Linked DNA regions of Schizosaccharomyces pombe. The protein of the gene in region 1 purifies or fractionates together with the protein of each later gene. This does not show direct contact. Each region holds a gene or a part of one and is shown on either strand. Other genes may lie near its edges.

Evidence for each region.
Region 2: the proteins of cwf14 (region 1) and cwf10 purify together in Schizosaccharomyces pombe (affinity purification with mass spectrometry; 3 studies listed by BioGRID, with this or other methods). This does not show direct contact.
Region 3: the proteins of cwf14 (region 1) and lea1 purify together in Schizosaccharomyces pombe (affinity purification with mass spectrometry; 2 studies listed by BioGRID, with this or other methods). This does not show direct contact.
Region 4: the proteins of cwf14 (region 1) and brr2 purify together in Schizosaccharomyces pombe (affinity purification with mass spectrometry; 2 studies listed by BioGRID). This does not show direct contact.

The regions. Positions count from the first base shown.
Region 1 is NC_003423.3:2,341,934-2,347,843, forward strand, and holds cwf14 (G10 protein), read left to right. Parts: upstream 1-1,607; 5' UTR 1,608-1,770; coding exon 1,771-1,802; exon of another isoform or gene 1,803-1,872; coding exon 1,873-2,252; exon of another isoform or gene 2,253-2,296; coding exon 2,297-2,325; 3' UTR 2,326-2,523; coding exon of another isoform or gene 2,524-5,358; 3' UTR 5,359-5,367; downstream 5,368-5,910. Other genes in the region: endocytosis protein Dip1, read right to left, coding at 1-857, 978-1,067, 1,163-1,217; msh2 (DNA mismatch repair protein), read right to left, coding at 2,524-5,358, 5,453-5,535, 5,579-5,609. UniProt on the Schizosaccharomyces pombe protein: Involved in mRNA splicing where it associates with cdc5 and the other cwf proteins as part of the spliceosome.
Region 2 is NC_003423.3:4,050,958-4,056,502, forward strand, and holds cwf10 (GTPase Cwf10), read left to right. Parts: upstream 1-1,598; 5' UTR 1,599-1,643; coding exon 1,644-1,669; exon of another isoform or gene 1,670-1,713; coding exon 1,714-2,073; intron 2,074-2,111; coding exon 2,112-2,463; exon of another isoform or gene 2,464-2,522; coding exon 2,523-4,739; 3' UTR 4,740-5,022; downstream 5,023-5,545. Other genes in the region: SPOM_SPBC215.11C (aldo/keto reductase family protein), read right to left, coding at 1-425; protein Mtl3, read left to right, coding at 5,211-5,545. UniProt on the Schizosaccharomyces pombe protein: Component of the U5 snRNP complex required for pre-mRNA splicing. Binds GTP.
Region 3 is NC_003423.3:4,144,785-4,147,832, reverse strand, and holds lea1 (U2 snRNP-associated protein Lea1), read left to right. Parts: upstream 1-1,562; 5' UTR 1,563-1,769; coding exon 1,770-1,850; intron 1,851-1,911; coding exon 1,912-2,544; 3' UTR 2,545-2,548; downstream 2,549-3,048. Other genes in the region: serine/threonine protein kinase Ppk22, read right to left, coding at 1-177; elc1 (elongin C), read right to left, coding at 2,735-2,739, 2,778-2,911, 2,955-3,003, 3,044-3,048.
Region 4 is NC_003424.3:1,459,278-1,467,175, reverse strand, and holds the start of brr2 (U5 snRNP complex subunit Brr2), read left to right. Parts: upstream 1-1,896; 5' UTR 1,897-1,916; coding exon 1,917-7,898. Other genes in the region: Tf2-1 (retrotransposable element/transposon Tf2-type), read right to left, coding at 1-1,329. UniProt on the Schizosaccharomyces pombe protein: Involved in pre-mRNA splicing. May be involved in endoplasmic reticulum-associated protein degradation (ERAD) and required for growth at low and high temperatures. Required for pre-spliceosome formation, which is the first step of pre-mRNA splicing.

The DNA.
Region 1 (5,910 bases):
ATTATTGACCGCGTCGACTATACACTTAGTTTTGTAATGAGGTGGATGGCGCACCTGTGTATTTTCAAGCAAAGGAATCAAAACTTGCAAATATGCATACCGAAGATCCGAAAGCTCATCGGGAATATTGTTTATTTCGCGTATGAATATATCAATTAGGACATTGAGATCATTGGTATAGAATATCTCATACGTAGCGGGAGTTGTAAAAAGAAGGAATAGTTGTTTTAGTATTAACATTCGAGAGCGTGGATCCTTTTCTCGATTTAGAGTGAAAACTAGGCCTTCACTGTAGATACCGTTATCCACTTTGGAAGAGCTCAGCAAATCCATTATGCCATTTGCGATTTCAAACGAACCTTTGGAAGCAAGCCGAACAAGCATAAACTGTTCATTGATGCTAAGCAATGTCAAGACGCACATTCCAAAACTGTCCATGTCCTCATCATTCCAAGCTTCTTCCGACGTTTTGAATAGGTTTACTAAAAAATATTCATCAATTGCGACTAAGTCGGTCGGTGAAAGTCGTCTCGAGCGACAAATATAGTACACTAAGAATAAAGCATAACGAAAAGATGTAAAAGCAACATTTTCTGAACGATCCTTGAACTGTTTCATTGCCTTGATCAAGACGGGAATGAACCCCGTAGAAGCCAACAAACGCAAGCAGTACTCATTCTCTTGAATTTCGGATTGAAAGACAATGATTATGAATTTCAAAGTTTGTTGTTCTTTCAAGAAAAAAAAGCAATCATAGAAAATACTTAAAACGGCGTTTTCGTCTAGTTGATAAAGCGGACTATTGAGGAACTTTTCCATACATCTCTGCAATTGGAATTCTGTAATTAGGTACGGTTCTATTGAATTTATTTTGTTAGATAAGATGTTCTATAAAGAGACAAACACTCAATTTCTTTGTATTTCATCCATAGGAAAAACACGGAAAATTGTGCTTCCCCAATTCTCCAAAACATTACCTCCATATTTGTTGATAAAAGAAAGAAACTTTGAAACACCAATTTCCAGTTCATTTTTTTCGTATGGTATAGTTAAAAGTTCGTCAATTTCTGTCACCAAATGTTAGCGTCAACGGGAATACTATTTAGCCAGGATAATGAATCCCAGGCACATTCAAGTTTACAATTATGAATAAATTGCATACCCGCCAAAAATTGCTTTTCATTCTCTAAATTATAAAACACATCCGTGAACTCCATGTGGAGGTTAGGGAAGGTTTAATTGCCGCTTTCTCATTATCGAGCCTAGTATTCAATAGACAAAATTCTCGCTAATATCCATCGATAATCAACTTTAATATATGATTAGTAGTCAACACAACAGAGCGTCAATGTTATACCATGAAAACAGTATTGTAGTATTATAGTATACAAATGCATCTGGTTCCCTTTTGGCCATATGTTAAGGTATAAAATATAGTGGAGACACAAATTCAAAAATTCTCAATTATCCTCAATTGAAGAGGCTATAATTTAATTAACGGAGAAAAAACTTAGTTTCTATAGTTAAGAATATCTTGCAACAGTTTCAATCGCGGCAGTCTATTTTACAAGGAATTTACACTGGATTCTCACAAATCCAACTTGCCCATAAGTACACTACCACCAAATAAGTAAAAGGATAAAAACTACCCATCACTAGATTTCATTTTATCGGTTTCTTTATATTTAATCTCTTTAAAGCAAGCATTCCTTATTCTGTGTTGGTTTATTGAAGAAAAGTCGTAGTTTGCTTAAAAAATATTCTGTTATCATGCCTCGTCTTCGAACGTCAAGAACCAAGCGGTATGTATACCAAGTATTTTCCTTGTTACCTTTATTTTTACCTACGAAGTAAGATTCTAATTAGCTATAGCCCTCCTGACGGATTTGATGAAATAGAACCCACCCTTATTGAATTCCAAGATCGTATGCGTCAAATTGAGAATACAATGGGAAAGGGAACTAAGACGGAAATGCTAGCACCGATTTTTCAACTTCATCATCAGCGCAGTCGTTATATATACGATTTATACTACAAACGGGAAGCCATATCTACCGAACTTTACAACTGGCTGCTAAAACAAAATTATGCCGATGGAAATTTAATCGCCAAATGGAAAAAACCAGGATACGAGAAACTTTGTTGTCTGCGCTGTATTCAAACCGCTGAGTCAAAATTTGGTTCAACGTGTATATGTCGTGTACCTAAATCAAAACTTGATAAAGATCAACGTGTGAGATGTACTCATTGTGGTAAGTAAAGAAGTGCTATTGCTACCAGTTGCTAATGAAAATAGGTTGTAATGGTTGTGCAAGCTGTGATTAATTGGAAAACTAGTGGTTCGTTTCCCATTTATATCTTTTTATTTGGTTATTATGGCAAATGAAACAGTTTTGGGTTATAAAATTCATTGATCTATGGCTTTTCCTCGTTTTAGTAAAAAATTATTTTATTCATAAAATGCGCTTCCAAAAAACATGTACCTTGGTTGAATTCTTTCAATTAGTACCTTGCTCACATTCTTCATGAGGAAACCTCATTTGTGGATACCCTGGATTGTAGCCAGTTGTTGGAATTGATTTGCTGTGCGAATGAGCCGATGACTTTTTGAAATTGGTCCATCATTTGTTGCTGAGTCATTTCTGGTTTGACGTTGCTACGCCATTGTCTCATTATATCACGTACAATTGCCATACCTTCTTTTTTAGATTTCACTTCTTGAGTATCCCCTTGGGCTCCAGAGTCTTCAGCTTCTAATTCTGCGGCTTTGTTGCTTGCCATTTCAATAATCTTGGGAGGGAAGTGCGCAAGTTTAGCAACATGGATTCCAAAACTCCGATCACTAGCTCCTTCACAAACATTATAGAGTAAAGCTACATCCTTCGATTCTGAATCACCTACATAGGCTGTAACATGCAAATTTTTGACAGTAGTGATTTCTTCTGATAGTTTGGTCATTTCATGATAATGTGTTGCGAAAAGGCAAAAGCAACCGATTTGAGTCACGATGTGTTCTGTAATAGCCCACGCTAATCCAAAACCATCGGTTGTGCTAGTCCCTCGTCCTAATTCATCAATGATGATTAAGGATCGCGGTGTGGCAGCTCTCAAAATCGTAGCGGTCTCCAACATTTCGGCCATGAAAGTAGAAATGCCTTTAAGCTGTGAGTCGCTGGCTCCGACACGTGCAAGGATAGCATCAATAATATCTAGATCAGCCACTTCACAAGGCACTGGACAACCAATCTGTGCCATGACGGTAATAACTCCAACTTGACGGATATACGTTGATTTTCCACCCATATTTGGTCCGGTTATGATTAATAGCTCTGAACTTCCATGCTCAAGATTAACATCATTGGGTATGAACTTCACATCGTCCTGAGCTTCCAAACAAGGATGTCGCGCTTGTTTTAGGTAGAGACGAGCACAATGATTATTTTCTAGAGTTCTTCGTATTTCTTCAAAATTAGGAGTATCTTCTAATGAAACAATGTCCAAAATATTGCTACTTTGTCCATGCTTTTCTTGTGCAATGCTTGAATCCACAATATTTGGTCTTACATAAGGTATTACAGCTACCGTACTTGCATGTGCGAAACTTAGAATCACGTCCAAATGAGCAATTACTTGGCCAATCGCCTCCAAAGGAGGACCGTATGTTGCAGCTATCTTTATAACTTCACGTGCAAGCCCATTTTGGTGGTACCGGTAGCTTTTTTGGTGATCCATATAAGAATTGTTTAGTGAATGAAGACGTTTAGTGGTAAAGTAGACTCCATTTTTTTGAGTTGATAATTCTGTATAATGAGAACTACGGCCTCTTAAACAGCCAGCTTCTGTTCTAGTAAGGCGTAGACACCATCCATAGAGGTGATGTTGCTCAAGATGTAATTTTTTCTCGGTATCTTGGTGGAGATCTGAACCGACCCTTTTATGTTCTTCAAAGATAGAATGCTGTAATTCGTCTAATCGTTGACGCAAATCTAATAGCTCCTCATCAAACTCTGCACGGATAATATACTGATGTGAATCCAATGCTTCCAAGTCGATGGTGGTTTCAACAAGCTCTATTAATTTTTCCAAGTTTTTGCAATGATTGTTAAGGACGTTCGTGTATACTTTATCCACCAAATCTTTATGTTCACTAGTCAAAGAGTCAAGTACCGTAACGATCTTCGGAAGTGCCTTTGCCATTTGATAAATACGTACAACATCTTCTAGACTAGCTGATCCACGAGTTAAACGCCTGCATAGTTTAGGAATATCTGGAATTGAACGAAGAAGATGATCATCATCAAGCAATAACTGGCGTGCCTCAGCATCTTCCACAAGTGCGGAGACCAAGTCATGTCTTCGTTCAATTGATTTTGCATCCAAAAGTGGCTGAACAATCCATCTTCTTAAATTCCTTGCTCCCATCGCAGTTCTACAATGATTAAGTAAACCATAAAGACTCATTGTTTTATGAGCATTACCATTGGGAGGAGGAAGTAGGTTAAGAGAACGAACTGCTGCAATATCTAATCGCATGTATTGTTCCAAGTTGTGATGATACAGATGGAGCTTTCGAGATGTGTTTTCACGGTCGTCTTCCATGTCAGGGTTTAGTAACGCAGGTCCTAAATAGCGAAGCAATGCATTGCAGGATGCCATTGCTAATTGTAGACCTAGTTCTGGAACAAGAGCATGTGTAACTGGACTGTCGAGCACTTTTGAGAGCTCAAGTTCAACATCTCGAGCCGAAAATTCAGAGCTTCTTATAGTTGTAACTAATGCGCCACAACCTTCAATAATATTTCGAAGACGATTGATTTCTGCCGTGTTAATAGAAACGGCTGAATTGCCATTCGTCGATTCATGCCCAGATTGCGATATTATGCACTCTTTCGCTCCAACTTGCACTATGAGAGCTTCAAAGTTCGTATAAGCATCTGAGTCAACAAATTCTGAAACACCTAATTTTTTTAAAATTGGATCTATAAAAGCAACGCCAATTATTCGCTGATCTTGTTTAACCCTAGTAGTAACAGCCAACAAAACCGAACTAACTGAGCTATCACTAATGGCTGTGGATTCTTGATAATTCTCACTAACAAGCAAATCTTCCAGCATTTGCATATTTCCAGGACTAGCTTGCTTCAACAATTCAAATCCTGTCTTTGCGGAATTGGCTCCCCAAATTTCAACTCTCTTTGCAAGGTTGCTTAAAACATCTTCCGCAAACTTAATAAATAGTGAAGGAGATAAGTTACAATAAGATGTATTAGACACATTGTGGTGTTTTAGCACCGAAGTAGTGTGATACGCGTTTTGAGCAACAAACGAAGCGTCTTCTCCTATTGCAACGTAAAATTCCTAGAAAACAGTGTTAGATTGGATTAAAAAATAATAATATTTCAAGTTATTTTTTACGAAGTTTAAGTAAATTTTTCTATTCATCAATACTTACCCCTCGATCAAATACACGCACTGTGTTTGTATCTTTAGGCATTTTTTCATAAAAATTAAACATCCTTGCCTCATCAGTTCTTTCTGTTTTAAAATATTAGTTCAAAGAAGTAACCCCTTGACAAACCATTAGCAATTGAAGCGTTTCTAGAAGACATATTGATTGAATGTTCTAAAGCGCGAACGCGAAATGTATAAAACAGGAGAAGAAACTCCTTGCCACAGTTAAGTCCTCAAAAAGGATAAATAAAAAACCTCAAAAAAAGGAATAGATTTAAAGAATGTTAAATAACGAAGGACCGACGTCGAAAGTAACACAGTGGGAGATTGGTAGCTGCCAAAGTTATATGACACAGAACTAGTCAAACATACTAAAAAATTCATCTAAGCTAATAAATTGAATCTTAAAAATTAATCTATTTAATTAAATGCCTTGTTGTTTAAGTATTTCAACTTTGC
Region 2 (5,545 bases), 1.7 Mb from region 1:
TTGGGATCGATGCGATGTAGTTGCCAGAGGTCAATTTGCTTAACTCCAAGTCGACGCATGCTCATAAGTACTTCTTGACGTAAAAATTTGGGTGCTCCACAAGGATGCCATTCATTTGGACCTGTACGAACAAGGCCACCCTTGGTAGCAATTATAAGTCCTTTGTAAGGGTATAAAGCTTCTCGTAAAAGATTCTCGCTGACCTCAGGGCCGTAAGAATCGGCGGTATCAATAAAGTTAATATTGAGTTCAGGCAAACGTTTTAAAGTTGCGATGCAAGCCTCTTTGTCTTTGGGTTCATCCCATATACCATCACCGGTAACTCTCATTGCTCCGAATCCCATTCTATTGACAACCATGTCGCCAACCTTGACAGTCCCAGCTTGTGAAGCATCTACGGCGGAAGAAGCTGCAGTTTTACTCATTTTTGTGTCTTTTGTCGCTTTTCTTAGAAATCAAGATCAAGTACTATAGTGGATCCGGTAAGTGTGGGATGTCAGACGCCGTTTCCTTTTATAGTAATTTTACATGGTGTATTCCTTACATAAGCTGGATTGATGCGGACTATCTTAAACCACGAAAACTGATTTATTACATACCCTATTTACAGAATCCAGTGGTATGATGTAAGAGCGCGTTAGACAATATATTGTCATAACGATGACTAATACTATTATAGTACGATATTGCTGGTTGGATTTTGAATTAGAGTAAATAGCTAAGTCCTTTTTGATTTGGCTCTTATTCAATTTAATGATAATTTTATGGTTCCAAAATCTGATGCTGGATGAATTGTCTAAACTGTATCTCTGTCTTCTTTTGCCAGCCCATTTTTATTCATGAGCAACGATGGTCGCACATAACGATAATGATCTTTATTGCTATGTTTCTTTCTATTCAAGATAATGTGGATTTATATTTTCCATCTTCTTGAATTATGCTTGATCGTGCTATCAAATCGTACTACGAGTTATCATTTGGAGACCACAAATGGGTTGACCAGTTCCGTAAATCGAGGTAAACATTGCACATAATAACAATTCTAGGACTGTATTTGAAAGGAAACACATTTTTTGAATTTAGTTGATGATGCCAGTATATTATTAGTGTTATTGACATTCAGCAATTTGTTGTGTGTTTTATAAACACACTAAATACTTTGTACAGTTGCAAAACTTGCGCTCTAAAAATGTTTGCACCGCACTTTTACAATGGCTATTTACTCTTACTATTGTCTTCGAAAAGCTTATAAATTTGGCTGCTAAACATGGGTCGGTAGCTCAAATCGTAGACATAACCAGTCTTTTAAGGTCTCAATTACACCCATGTACGACTTTTAAGGAGGAAGTTGGTAAATAAAAAAGTATATTTGGTTTTCAATAATTACGATTCATTCCTTTCTATCAAAATGAGACGATGTCGTTCTTCGGCAACCTTAAAGAGTGTAGTGGAAGTTACTGAGCCGATCATATCTCGTTTAGAGAGTATAAAGACAATGATTTCTCTAGCTCATTATCAAAGCTTAACGAGATATAAATCGCAGTTGAGACATGAATGCGCTAAAGCTCGAAAACTTGGTTACACTTTACTTCAAATTTGGTAATTACCAAAAGTTGTGCATTGTGGGTACTTGGCAGTAACTGATGATGGAAGAGGATTTATATGATGAGTAAGTGGTCTAAAAACATTTTATAGTTATTTCTAACTCGCCAGGTTTGGAAATTACATAGGCCCTGAAAATGAAGAAGATGAAGAGGAGCTGTTTCCTCAGGCTCCTAGCCCTACAATTGCACAGGTACCATCCTTTGAAGAGGTCATTCCTGATGAAGAATTAGAAGACGTTGAAAGGGCCGAGGAAATGGCGTTGAGTCATCTAGAGCCTCAGAATGCCGTTGTTCTTCACGAGGATAAACAATATTATCCTAGCGCTGAAGAGGTATATGGGTCCAACGTGGATATCATGGTTCAGGAACAGGATACTCAACCCTTAAGCCAGCCCATTATTGAGCCAATTCGTCACAAAAGGATTGCTATAGAAACAACAAACGTCCCAGATACTGTATACAAGAAAGAGTAAGTATGTGTAACAATGTCTTTTCTAACTTTTTAAGGTTCCTCTTCGGTCTCTTAACTGGGACAGATGACGTTAGATCTTTTATTGTTGCTGGCCATCTGCATCACGGCAAAAGCGCTTTATTAGATTTACTCGTTTATTATACCCATCCTGACACCAAGCCGCCAAAAAGGCGTTCACTTCGATATACCGACACTCATTATCTTGAAAGAGAACGTGTGATGTCTATAAAAAGTACTCCACTTACGCTCGCAGTTTCTGATATGAAGGGTAAGACGTTTGCATTTCAGTGCATCGATACGCCTGGTCATGTCGATTTTGTTGATGAAGTCGCTGCTCCTATGGCCATAAGTGATGGTGTTGTATTAGTCGTTGATGTTATTGAAGGTGTAAGTTATTCTGGCCTTTTCTTGCGTTTTGAAGATATAAAGATTCTAACATGCTTTAGGTGATGATTAACACCACTAGAATTATCAAACATGCGATTCTTCACGATATGCCAATTGTGCTCGTCTTGAACAAAGTTGATAGGTTAATCCTTGAGCTACGTCTCCCTCCGAATGATGCTTACCATAAACTTCGACACGTTATCGACGAAGTAAACGATAACATTTGCCAGATTAGTAAAGATTTGAAATATCGCGTTTCTCCTGAGTTAGGGAACGTTTGTTTTGCTTCATGTGATCTTGGATATTGTTTTACATTGTCTAGTTTCGCAAAACTCTATATAGATAGACATGGAGGTATCGACGTGGACTTATTTTCTAAAAGATTGTGGGGGGATATTTATTTCGATTCGAAAACCAGAAAATTTGCCAAACAGTCCTTGGATGGCTCTGGCGTTAGAAGCTTTGTCCATTTCATATTAGAACCGTTGTATAAATTACATACCCTTACTATTTCTGACGAAGCCGAAAAACTCAAAAAACACTTATCTTCTTTCCAAATTTATTTAAAACCCAAGGATTATTTATTAGATCCTAAACCACTCTTGCAACTAATTTGCGCATCGTTTTTTGGATTCCCCGTTGGTTTTGTGAATGCAGTTACTAGACATATTCCATCGCCTCGAGAAAATGCCGCTCGTAAAGCCTCTCAATCATATATTGGGCCTATAAACTCTAGTATCGGCAAGGCTATCTTAGAAATGAGTCGTGAGGAATCAGCACCATTAGTCATGCATGTTACTAAACTTTACAACACCGTCGATGCTAATAATTTTTATGCATTTGCTCGTGTATATAGTGGTCAGGTTAAAAAGGGTCAGAAAGTTAAAGTTCTTGGAGAAAATTATTCTTTAGAAGACGAAGAGGATATGGTGGTTGCTCATATTGCTGAAATATGTGTACCTTGCGCACGATATCGTCTTCACGTTGATGGAGCTGTTGCCGGCATGCTAGTTCTTTTAGGAGGTGTTGATAACTCTATTAGCAAAACAGCAACCATCGTTTCGGACAATTTGAAAGATGATCCTTACATTTTCAGGCCAATTGCTCACATGTCCGAGAGTGTTTTCAAGGTGGCTGTAGAGCCACACAATCCATCAGAATTACCAAAACTACTTGATGGCCTACGAAAAACAAACAAAAGCTACCCACTATCTATCACAAAAGTAGAAGAATCTGGGGAACATACTATTTTCGGTACTGGTGAGATGTATATGGATTGTCTACTTTATGATCTTCGGACTTTATACTCTGAAATCGAAATCAGAGTTTCCGATCCAGTTGCTCGTTTCTGTGAGACTGCGGTGGACACATCAAGTATCAAGTGTTTTTCAGATACTCCAAATAAAAAAAATCGTATCACAATGGTAGTTGAGCCATTGGAGAAAGGAATTTCTAATGACATTGAAAATGGAAAAGTTAATATCAATTGGCCTCAAAAAAGAATCAGCGAATTTTTCCAAAAGAACTACGATTGGGACTTACTAGCTTCACGTTCCATCTGGGCTTTTGGTCCCGATGATCGTGGTACGAATATATTGCGGGATGATACTCTTAGTACAGATGTTGATAAAAACGTGCTTAATAGCGTAAAAGAATACATTAAACAAGGTTTTCAATGGGGGACTAGGGAAGGTCCTCTATGTGATGAGACAATCCGAAACGTGAATTTTCGCCTGATGGATGTAGTGCTTGCACCTGAACAAATTTATCGAGGAGGTGGTCAAATTATTCCAACCGCAAGGAGAGTGTGTTATTCTTCTTTTTTAACAGCGTCTCCACGGCTAATGGAACCAGTGTATATGGTTGAAGTACATGCCCCCGCTGACAGTCTTCCTATTATTTATGATTTATTAACGCGTCGTCGTGGTCATGTCCTCCAAGATATCCCTCGGCCAGGTTCCCCATTATATTTGGTGAGAGCACTTATTCCAGTCATTGATTCTTGTGGATTTGAAACAGATTTACGAGTGCATACTCAGGGTCAAGCTATGTGTCAAATGGTATTTGATCATTGGCAGGTAGTACCTGGTGATCCACTGGATAAGTCTATCAAGCCCAAGCCATTAGAACCCGCACGTGGCTCTGATTTGGCGAGAGACTTTCTGATTAAGACAAGACGTAGAAAAGGTCTGGTGGAAGATGTTTCTACAACTCGCTATTTCGATCAAGAAATGATTGATTCTTTGAAAGAAGCAGGTGTCGTACTCTCTTTGTAATGTCGGTTTTAAGTCTTTATAATGGATTTTGCAAAAAAAAATAAATTGGGTAGATTTTAATAATAAAGTATACGATTATTTATGAAAGTTCGAGAAGTCTAACAACTTTTTTTTGCTTTCAAATCTCGCGTTTACAGTGTATGAAATCCGAAAAATCAGCGCATATCTTGAAGCCGTAAATTATTTGTGAAATCCTTGATCAGAAGGAAAAGTCGCATTTTGGTTTTACGATTTTAGTATATAGATAAATAACTTCTATTATTTATTTTTTTATGTTAAGAAACTAACACTCAACTGAAATAACGTAATTTCATAGTACTATAAACACCCGAGGTCATATGTCATGAAGTTACCCTCTCAGTATACCGGAAGACTTTAGGGACATATACAACTTCCGGAAGTGCTCTGCTTTTGGAAGTAAAATACAGCGAGTTTAGTTAGATTAGTTTATTATTATCCTTAAAACTGAAGATGGGTTTGAGACTTTTGTTTTCTCTCATTTGCGTATTTTGCATATCGAACATTTTTACGCAAGCCTTCTTGGTGCATCAAATATATGGTAATTCCAGCTTCACAAAAATATCTTTAAATCAACTTGAGGGCAGAGATTCTCAAGAGGAACTACAAAGGCGTCAGGAAATCCGATATTATGGTCGTGCCGCTGAAACTGGAGGAACTCCTACTTACTACGGGTATGCGACACCCACTAGCTCTAGTGAACCCAGTATCTTTTCTGAATCTGCTACTCCCTCAGAAACTAATTCTTACTCGTCTCCGGTCAGCTCTTATTCTGATCCCGCAACTAG
Region 3 (3,048 bases), 1.8 Mb from region 1:
GGTTGAGTCATCAGAATCATTATCCCTCTGATCATTTCGGACACTAGTAGAAACGGTTGCCGCTCGATTCCTACGAAAGTGAAACAAATTTTTCAGTTTATCTGAAAAGTGCGACTGGCTCATACCATCATCGGTGGAAGAGGGACTTTTGTCATTAAATTCAGTTTCTCGAGCCATTCTAAGTCATCCATTAATCTCGTAGCGCTTCAAACATTCACCGGTTAATAAATTTCGCTGACGGCTCACTTATAATACCTAATATAAATCAGAATGTAAGCAAACTTGAAAAACGACTTCAAAGCTCCCAAATAGTCTAATATAACTAGCCGAATGGTATTCCTCCTGCTTATATTAATTCTTGTTTCATTTGGAGGTGTCGGCAAAAGAATAGTTAGTGGAGCCACGGCCATCCTTATGTTATATAATCCTCTTTTTAAGCATATAGAAATAAACAGTCATATTGTAGCATTAACTAACAAGCAGCTTCAAAATACTTAGTTGAAGCTATTGTAAATAAAAGAAAAAACTTGTTTTTGGTTTTTATGTGTGGGTATTGATCTGTAGTTTTGTAGTAAATTCAGTTTGAATAATTCTTACTGGAACAGAATAAGTGTTAGAATAAATGCAGTGATTTTTAATTTCATATTCTCAAGAGTGACTGTATGATTTATAAGTACACGAGCTATGGAAGCACAACATTTAATCATGTATTTCTTCCACTTTCAACTACAAAAGAGGCTACTCTAAACCCAAACATTATCCGAAATGTCGATGTACATTTGTCGATATCGCTGGCATTTTCAATTAGTCCGACTCATGTGGTATTAGTATGAGGATGGATAGTTGATTCGATATTAGAAGCTGTCATATCAATTTAAATATAATTTCTTAGCAGTGCTTTCATTGAGATAGAGCAATACGATAGAAACAATCTGAAGAATTCATTAAAACTGTTACATTAAAAAACGACTTGATGTCAATATTGTTTTTGGAATGTTTTTCATTAAATGAGAAAACAAAAAGATATAGCAGTTTAGTAAGTATCTCAATGCAATTTTTTAATAGGAAAACAGGTTCCTTAAGCAACTCTGAATAATTGTAAATAACCTGGTTTCAAACTTTCGTTGGCGGTTTGTGCTCACGAAGTCAAATAGGGAGGCAGTATGAACATTATAGATGAGTTGAACTAAAACTTTGAGTGGAAAACAATGTGTGTTTCATCCAAATAGTCGATTGCTTGTGTTTGTTTTTGAGAGCTCAACAGATAAAAGAGTGTGTACCAATTTCTGACAAACTTAAGATATATATTTGACAACAATGAAAAAATGTTTTATTTAAAGGTGTCAAAACACACATATACAAAAATCATTTATTCTCTGTTTTCCCAAGAATTTTCTAGTACGAAAGCCGATTCTTGAACATGGAAGTCGTCAGTCAATTATCAAAGTATAATTACGCATAATTTGTTTTTTTTAAATCTAAAAAGTAGAAAAAGTGAGTATTTTTTGCTTATTGAGTCAAGATTTCTTTGTATTTATTTATGTGCTTACTATCCAAACTCTACCACTTTGCTTCTTCTCTTGACGTGTCATATTCTTGGTTTTTACATAATTAACTTTACATTATTAGATTCTAAAACGTTAACTATAACATTTTTTGAATAAACAATAGTGAAATTTAGGATTGTGAGCGTTTTGGATAATTTTTTAGGAATTTTAAATCATACTGCAGTAACAGCATAAAAAAGGCATTTTCATTACAAAAATTTCATGCGTCTTAATGCTGAATTTTTGTCTCAGGTACCCTCATTCATCAGTCCTTTGAAAGAAACTGAGCTTGATTTAAGATATGTTTAAAGAAATTACTGTATGCTACGTGTCATCCAGCTAACTCATAATTACAGGGTATCAGATTCCAATAATTGAAAATTTAGGAGTGTTAAGGGACGTACACGATGCAATTGATTTCACAGACAATGACATTCGATATTTAGGGAATTTCCCTCGTATGAAAAGGCTTCAAACGCTTTTGTGTGGAAATAACCGAATAACTGCTATAGCCCCAGACATAGGTAAAGTTCTTCCGAATTTAAAGACTTTATCCCTAGCACAAAATCATCTTCAAGAAATAGCAGATTTAGATCCGTTGGCTAGTTGTCCTCAACTCACTAATTTGTCGTGCATTGACAATCCAGTTGCTCAAAAACAATATTATAGATTATATCTTATATGGAGAATTCCTTCGTTACATATTTTAGATTTCGAACGGGTTAGAAGAAATGAAAGGCTTCGTGCTGAAGAAGTGTTTGGTCAAATTCAAAACCCTACAGAAATAGCTTCCTCTATTATGGGTGTGAAAAGTCGAGTATTTGATTTGGCTGCATTGGTACAAAGCCACCCAGAAGCGAATTCTCCTATTACAACTGGATATACACTTACACCTGAGGAAAGAGAAAAGATCAAAGAAGCCATTAAAAATGCCTCTTCCATTGCTGAGATAAATCGACTGGAAGCTATGCTATTAGAGGGGAAAATTCCAAAATAAAGTAACTCACAAGATTTCTAGAAACCGCATAGTTATATAATACATTTTTTCCATCTCATTTCTTGCATTCGATAGGTAACGCGTTTAATAGTTATTTAAGGCATCAAATCGTTAATCGTAAACAAAAACCGTCAATTCTTTAATGCTGTAGCAATTTAGCAATCCTTTCGTTCCTCGTGAGTAATCAGAATTATGCTGTATTCATTAGCTTTAAATAGTAATGATAATCTTACCTTCCAAATATTCCGCAGTGACCAATAATTCTAAAACCATCTCAGGTGGGATATCGAACTTTGGAATATCTAATTGATTTTTATATCTGTAATTGTAATGCAAATATTCACAAACTTTTTCCAACAGTGTTGCCCTAGACACCTTATTAGAATTGAATGAATAGACCAATTGCATACCGTATATCAGGAAATGTGCATTCATTTTTTTGCGCCTCAGAAAATATTCCTATACATTAGAATTACTTTACTAAATATCATTATCAAACCTTCG
Region 4 (7,898 bases), on another chromosome or scaffold:
TTCTCGTATAATTCCACTTTTTAATCCTTGATTAATTTCATCATTCATAGCTTGCATTTTTCCCGGTGGTAGCGGGTAATTTCTGATAGGTAATCTGTAGTTTTCTTGAGTTAGTTCAACTTCAAATTCTAACCCTTTTATTGGCTTTGGTAGCTTTTCCGTATTGGTTTCTGCAGTAATGTCTTTGAATTCTTTATAGATATCTGGTAACTCAGGTTCCTTGACAATATTTGAAACTTTGTTCATTTGAGAGAGCGTGTGTTTACTGCTAGATATTTCAATGTTATTGTCATATAATGTTGTGAAGGAGATAGCAGCTGGATGCGAAAATTTCTTTACAACCAAGAATTCTGTTTTGATTGATATTCCATTTAGACTTATGTTAAGTTTTATTGTTTTGCGATTAATCTTATTTGGATAAACTCCACCATATATCACACTTTTTGACCAGGGTCTGGTAGGCAGTTTATGTGCTCGAACAGTTTCTTCTGTTATAATATTTGCTTGAGCGCCCGTATCGATTAGACAGGGTATTGAGCACTTGAAGTCTGGAAGTTCAGCTTGTAATACCATTTCGTAACGTTTCCTAGTATGATTTAGGAATTTGTTAGATGAGTATTCTATTCTCGAAACATTTGTCTTCCTCAGGTTTCTGCTATTAGTGGTGTTATTTTTCTTTGAAAGGGACTCTTTTCCTAGATTTTTATTTTGCAGTTGAAAACGCTTGTGAGTTTTACCATACGAGGCTGTTCTTTTGTCCTCTAAAAAGTCATAAATTTCACTGATTTCTGATTTCCAGTAATTTCTTTCCTTTAATTTCCTTAAGGAATATGGCAGCATCCATAATATAAACAAGCGAGTATGGAAATCATCAACATTTGCTTTTGACATGAGTTTCCTTATAAATTGAACTTTGTCCAATTGATTTCTAAAACCTTCAAATGTTTTAGTTAAACGATCACCTTTGTTGGATCCTTGTACTTTCCCTGTTTGTCTGAGTAATTCTTGCCATGTAAGACTTCCATTCTCAGAAAACATGCGTTCAGCGAATTGTTGCTCTAATTCTTCTAGGTGATTCAATGTATACTGTCTTTTAGTATGCTCATTTGGGAATAATGAAGGGTATTCAGTAAAGTGTTGATCAAGTTTTGAAATGTAACTTTCAACATCCTTATTAGGATCGAATTTCCCTATCTCTGGTACATGCTTCGATAATATTTTTGCAAAAAGGTTTATTAAATGTTCGTCTGATGTTTGAATTCCATCCAAATTCTCTGGTCTCCATCGTTTTGCTCTTGCTTTCATATAACGATAATTTGCGTAGGACATTGTATATGTTTCCCTTTGGGAGATTTCAAAAGGGATAACAGTCCTTCCAAAGTTCTTTCTCCTTTGAACCCAGAAGGAGAGAAATATATATATTTATGATATATATTTATTCAATAATTCCTTTTTCCTAAAAGGAGTTAATTGTAGATCACAAGAGTTCAGTTATTGTAAGCTACGCAGTTTGGTATCTGATTTAAGGATACGTAGAACTGCGGTGAGCTTTCCTTGTGATCTATTATATTACAATACACAGGTTGTATAAGTAGCAACTGAGTATAGGTATTGTATTAACTGGGTTATAATGTTACCTATCACTAATATAGCTCATAACTGAACTGAGGAACGAGGTTCAGCAGTAGCTCTATTTATAGTATTCAGATAATATTGATCTTAATAGATTATCATTAAGATCAATCTCCATATCGTATCATACATGGTACGATATATAATTAGAACATGTGACATATAGTGATACTCAACGTAGTGTATTATAGCGTAGTGTAGTATTGCTGACAGAAATGAACACTTCTAATACCTCGAAGTAGACGAAAATTGAAAATTCAGTTTATCCTCCGCCACTCACAATCATGTCGAGTGCACATCCTAAAGGGGACTCGAAAGAGCCTCCCAAACATGGAAATAGTAAGGAGAAGCCAAACTATGGTCAATCACAGTATAGTTATTCTGCAATGTCAAATTTGGTTACGCAGGCTGATCGAAGATTTGTGTCACGACGTGATGCTGAACCTACAGGCGAACCGGAATCTCTGGTAAATCGAGTTAGTATTGCAGATATGGGTTCTAGAGCGAGAATTGAAAAACCTAGTACCCTTCCTCTCGAATTGACGCAGGAAGTTCAGGAGGTCCGGTTACCTCGTAAAGATGCAGAATCCTTAGAAATTGGTATACGGCAACCTGAACGCGAAAAGCGCTCTTCAGCGATACTTAAATATTTTGATTCTTTTGAAATTTTGAAATATAATCCTCTAACCGACGAGACCCGAGAAGTTTATGATTATATCTTGAGTTTCATTCAACAATACCTTGGCGATCAGTCTCCTGAAATCCTCCGTTCTGCTGCTGATTTGATTATTGAACTTCTTAAGGATAGTTCTTTAGATGAACAAGGTCGTAAAAAGCAAATAGAGGAGGTTTTGAGTACTGAACTCCCACAGGATCGGTTTTCACAGCTCGTTAACTTGGGAAATCGCTTAACAGATTATACAGTTGAGCAAGAAGAAGAGTTAAATGAAGAAGGCGTTAATGAATCTGGCGTACCAGTATTGTTCAATGAAGCCGATGAAGAGGAAGAAGCTGTTGAGGCAATGGAAGAGGATGAAGTGGCAGAAGATGAAGACGTCGTCTTAGAAACTTCCATATCTCAAGAAGAAGAGAAAAAGAATATTGAAAATCCGGATACAGAGGTTACATTTATTTCTGCTGATACCAAAAAAGTTACCGAAATACCCACTGTTCATCCTCGTGAAATCGATGCATTTTGGCTGCAACGAGAAATAGCAAAATATTTTGCTGACGCCGTCGTTTGTCAGGAAAAAACAAATCAAGCGTTTGAGGCACTTTCGGCTGATTACGATCTCGGTGAATTGGAAAATGAATTGATGAGTATTTTTGATTATGAACATTTCTATCTTGTTCAACTTTTGACTAAGAATCGTTGGACAATAGTTTCGTGTACAATGTTAAAACGCGCCGCTACTGATGAAGAACGCTTAGGTGTGGAAGAGCAAATTCGTGCTGCTGGTCGGTCTTGGATTCTCGAAGCTCTACGCCCTGGTGCTATCACTATACCTGATGACGGTTTAAATGAATTAAATAATAATGTTGTTGAGAAAGCTGAACCTGCGCCCGTTTCTGAAATTCCACTTTCGAAAACTTTGACTTCCCATAAAATTGTACCTAAGCACCAAGTTGATCTAGAAAATTATGTGTTTACTGAGGGATCACGTCTCATGTCTAATAAAGCTGTCAAGCTACCTGAAGGCTCGTTTCGTAGGACTGGTAAAGGGTATGAAGAAATACATGTTCCTGCCCCCAACAAAGCCGTACTTGGCGCTGACGAGCGTCTTGTAAAAATCAAGGAACTGCCTGAATGGTCTCATCAAGCTTTTCTTAATACTCAATCTTTAAACCGAATCCAAAGCCATCTTTATCCTATCGCTTTTGGTACTGACGAAAACATCCTTTTATGCGCTCCTACTGGTGCTGGAAAAACAAATGTAGCAATGCTATGTATCCTTAACGAATTACAAAAACATTTACGTGAAGATCTTAGCTTTAACTTACAAAATTTTAAAATTGTTTACATTGCTCCCTTGAAGGCGTTGGTACAAGAGATGGTTAATAATTTCTCAAAGAGGCTTACTCCATACAATATTCGAGTCGCAGAGTTAACTGGTGATAGTCAATTGACTAAACAACAAATTAGTGAAACTCAAATAATTGTAACCACACCCGAGAAGTGGGATATTATAACTCGAAAAGCTAATGATTTATCTTATGTCAATCTAGTCCGTTTAGTTATTATTGATGAGGTTCATTTGCTTCATGATGAACGAGGTCCTGTATTAGAATCTATAGTTGCTCGTATATTTCGCCATCAGGAGGAAACTCTTGAACAAGTTCGATTAGTAGGTTTGTCTGCTACACTTCCTAATTATACCGATGTTGCCAGTTTTTTACATGTCGACCCTAAAAAAGGGCTTTTTTACTTCGATTCGACATATCGTCCATGCCCTTTAAAGCAAGAATTTATAGGCATTACAGAAAAAACACCGTTTAAACGAATGCAGACGACTAATGAAGCTTGTTATGAAAAAGTTATGCAACACGCTGGCAAAAACCAGGTCCTCATATTTGTACATTCGCGCAAAGAAACCGCTAAAACCGCTCGTTTTATAAGAGATAAGGCACTAGAGGAAGAGACCATCGGTCATTTGTTACGCTCTGATGCCGCATCCCGTGAAATTCTTCGGGCTGAAGCCGACTCTACCAGTGATGAAAATTTGAAAGATTTGCTCCCATATGGGTTTGCCATACATCATGCTGGTATGCGACGAGAGGATCGCCAAACGTCTGAAGACCTTTTTGCCGATGGTACTATACAGGTACTAGTGAGTACGGCAACTCTGGCTTGGGGCGTAAACTTACCAGCGCACACAGTGATCATCAAAGGGACCCAAGTTTATTCTCCTGAAAAGGGTATCTGGACAGAACTCTCTCCTCAGGATGTTTTGCAAATGCTTGGCAGAGCTGGTCGCCCACAATTCGACACATATGGTGAAGGAATTATCATTACCGCCCACTCTGAGTTACAGTATTATCTATCACTAATGAATCAGCAGCTTCCAATTGAGTCTCAATTTATGCGCCGTCTAGCTGATTGTTTAAATGCCGAAGTATCGTTAGGAACTGTTCGTAGTATCGAAGATGGCGTAGACTGGCTTGGTTATACATACCTCTATGTTCGAATGTTACGATCCCCTGCCCTATATAGCGTCGGCCCAGAGTATGATGATGACAAATATCTTGTTCAAAAAAGAGCTGACTTACTTCATTCAGCTGCCATTTTATTAGAAAAATGCAAGTTACTAGTGTATAATCGTCAGAGTGGTACGTTGACCGCTACGGAATTGGGAAAAGTTGCTGCAAGTTATTACGTTACTCATAACTCGATGGCCATATATAATCGTCTTTTAATGCAGACAACATCCTTTATCGAGTTATTTCGAGTCTTCAGTTTTTCTGATGAATTTAAGCACATTCCTGTCCGTGAAGAAGAGAAAGTTGAACTCGCGAAGTTGCTGGAAAGAGTACCAATTCCTATTAGGGAAAGATTAGATGAACCTGCTGCCAAGATTAATGCCCTTCTCCAATCATATATATCAAGACAACGCCTGGATGGATTTGCACTTGTGGCAGACATGGTATACGTTACGCAATCAGCGGGTAGAATTATGCGTGCAATATTCGAGATATCATTGAGACGTGGTTGGTCATCTGTTGCAACACTCTCTCTTGATACATGCAAAATGATTGAGAAAAGGCTTTGGCCAACTATGAGCCCCCTTCGACAGTTTCCCAATTGTCCTTCTGAAGTAATACGCCGCGTTGAGAAAAAGGAATTTCCTTGGCAGCGATACTTTGATCTGGACCCTGCTGAATTAGGAGAATTAGTAGGGGTGCCAAAAGAAGGGAGGCGTGTGTACAACATGGTTCAGTCTTTTCCAAGGTTGAGCGTCGAAGCACATGTTCAACCTATCACAAGATCGCTTGTGCGGGTCGAACTTGTTATAAATTCTCAGTTCAACTGGGATGATCATTTAAGCGGCACTTCTGAAGCTTTTTGGATCCTTGTAGAAGACGTGGACGGGGACCGATTGCTACATTATGAACAATTTTTCCTTCTTAAAAAATACAAAGATGATGAGCATATTGTAAATTTTACAGTACCTTTGTTAGAACCTCTTCCTCCTTGTTACTTTATAAAGATAGTTTCAGATCGATGGTTACACTCGATAACTAAGGTACCTCTTTCATTTCAGCGCCTGATAATGCCAGAAAAATTTCCTGCGCCAACACCTCTTCTTGATCTTCAGAACGCCCCGGTCTCTAGTCTTAATAACCCAAGCTTCATTTCCCTCTACCCTAATTTTAAATTTTTTAACAAGATTCAAACACAGGTGTTTAACTCTGTTTATAAAACCAACGATAGTGTTTTTATTGGTGCTCCCAATGGAAGTGGAAAGACTGTTTGTGCCGAACTTGCTTTGTTACATCATTGGAGTCAAGAAGATTATGGTACTGCAGTTTACATTGCCCCAATTCAGGAAATCGTTGATCGTCGATATGAAGAATGGTATGGCAAGTTTTCTGACCTCGGTGATGGGAAAGTTTTGGTAAAATTGACGGGTGAGCGTTCACAAGACTTGAAGCTGATACAAGTTGCTGACTTGATATTTTGCACGCCATCGCAATGGGACTCATTGTCGAAGAGATGGAGAAGTATGCGAAGCATTCAGAAAGTTGATTTTTATATATGTGATGAATTACAATTGCTTGGTGGATTTTATGGTCCATTATACGAAATAGTGATCTCACGGATACGGTACATGGCAGTACAATTAGAAAAAAATATCCGAGTGGTTGGCCTTTCAGTATCTGTTGCTAATGCTCGAGATTTGGGTGAGTGGCTTGGGACTAGTCCACAATGCATATTTAATTTTAGTCCTAAAGACAGGCCTAATCCTCTTACTATTCATTTGCAATCATTCAGTATTACTCATTTCCCTTCCCTTATGTTGGCTATGAGCAAGCCTATATATCGCAGCTTGAAGAACTTTATTTCTCAGAGAAAGTCTACTATTGTATTTACTCCTGACAGGAAAGTAGCGAAACAATTAGCTTTTGATTTAGTTACATTCAGTATGGCTGATGAAGATGAGTATTTGTTTTCGTTAATGGAGAATGAAGCTTTCAATAAAGTTGAAGATGCTGCCTTGCAGCAATCATTGAAGCATGGTATTGCTTATATTAGTGAAATCACATCGTCCAATGATCAGAATATTGTACAATATCTTTACCGTCATGGACTTATCAAGGTTTTGATAGCTTCTCGCGATGTTATTTATTCCTTAAAAGCAAAATCAAACGCTGTTATTGTGATGGGTACTCAATACTATGATGGCAAAGAACATCGTTATATTGATTATCCTATAAGTGAGTTATTACAAATGCTCGGGTTTACTGCTAGCATTGGATCAAGTGAGCTTAGCCAGGTTATTCTTATGACTGTCACTACTAAGAAGGAATATTACAAGAAATTTTTAAATGAGCCATTACCCATGGAAAGCCATCTTCAAGTTTGGCTGCACGATGCTTTCGTGTCAGAAATATCTACGCAAACCATTGAAAGCAAACAAGATGCTGTAGATTGGCTTACATGGTCGTATATGTACCGGAGACTAGTTGCCAATCCTGCCTATTATGGTCTTCAAGATATCACTCATGAGTCGGTTTCTGAATTCCTTTCGGATCTTGTAGAAACAACCATGAATGATTTGAGTGAGGCACGCTTAATCACTGTAGACGATGAGGATGATAGTTGTGTCGCATTAAATTTAGCAATGATAGCTTCTCATTACGGAATTACATACATTACTATGCAAACGTTTGCTTTGAGCTTGTCAGAGCGCACGAAGATGAAGGGATTACTAGAAATTGTTACATCAGCAGCAGAATATGAGCAACTCCCAATTCGAAAGTATGAAGATATTGTGCTGGAGCGAATTCATTCCCGCCTGCCTGTTCGCTTAAGTAATCCTAACTATGAAGATCCTCATACGAAATCATTTATTCTTCTTGCAGCTCATTTTTCTAGATTTGAATTGCCTCCTGGTTTAGTTATAGATCAGAAATTCATTTTGACTAGGGTACATAATCTTCTGGGCGCTTGTGTTGATACATTGTCTTCCGAAGGCCATTTAATAGCTTGTATTAGACCAATGGAGATGTCGCAAATGGTTACGCAAGCTTTATGGGATCGTGATAGT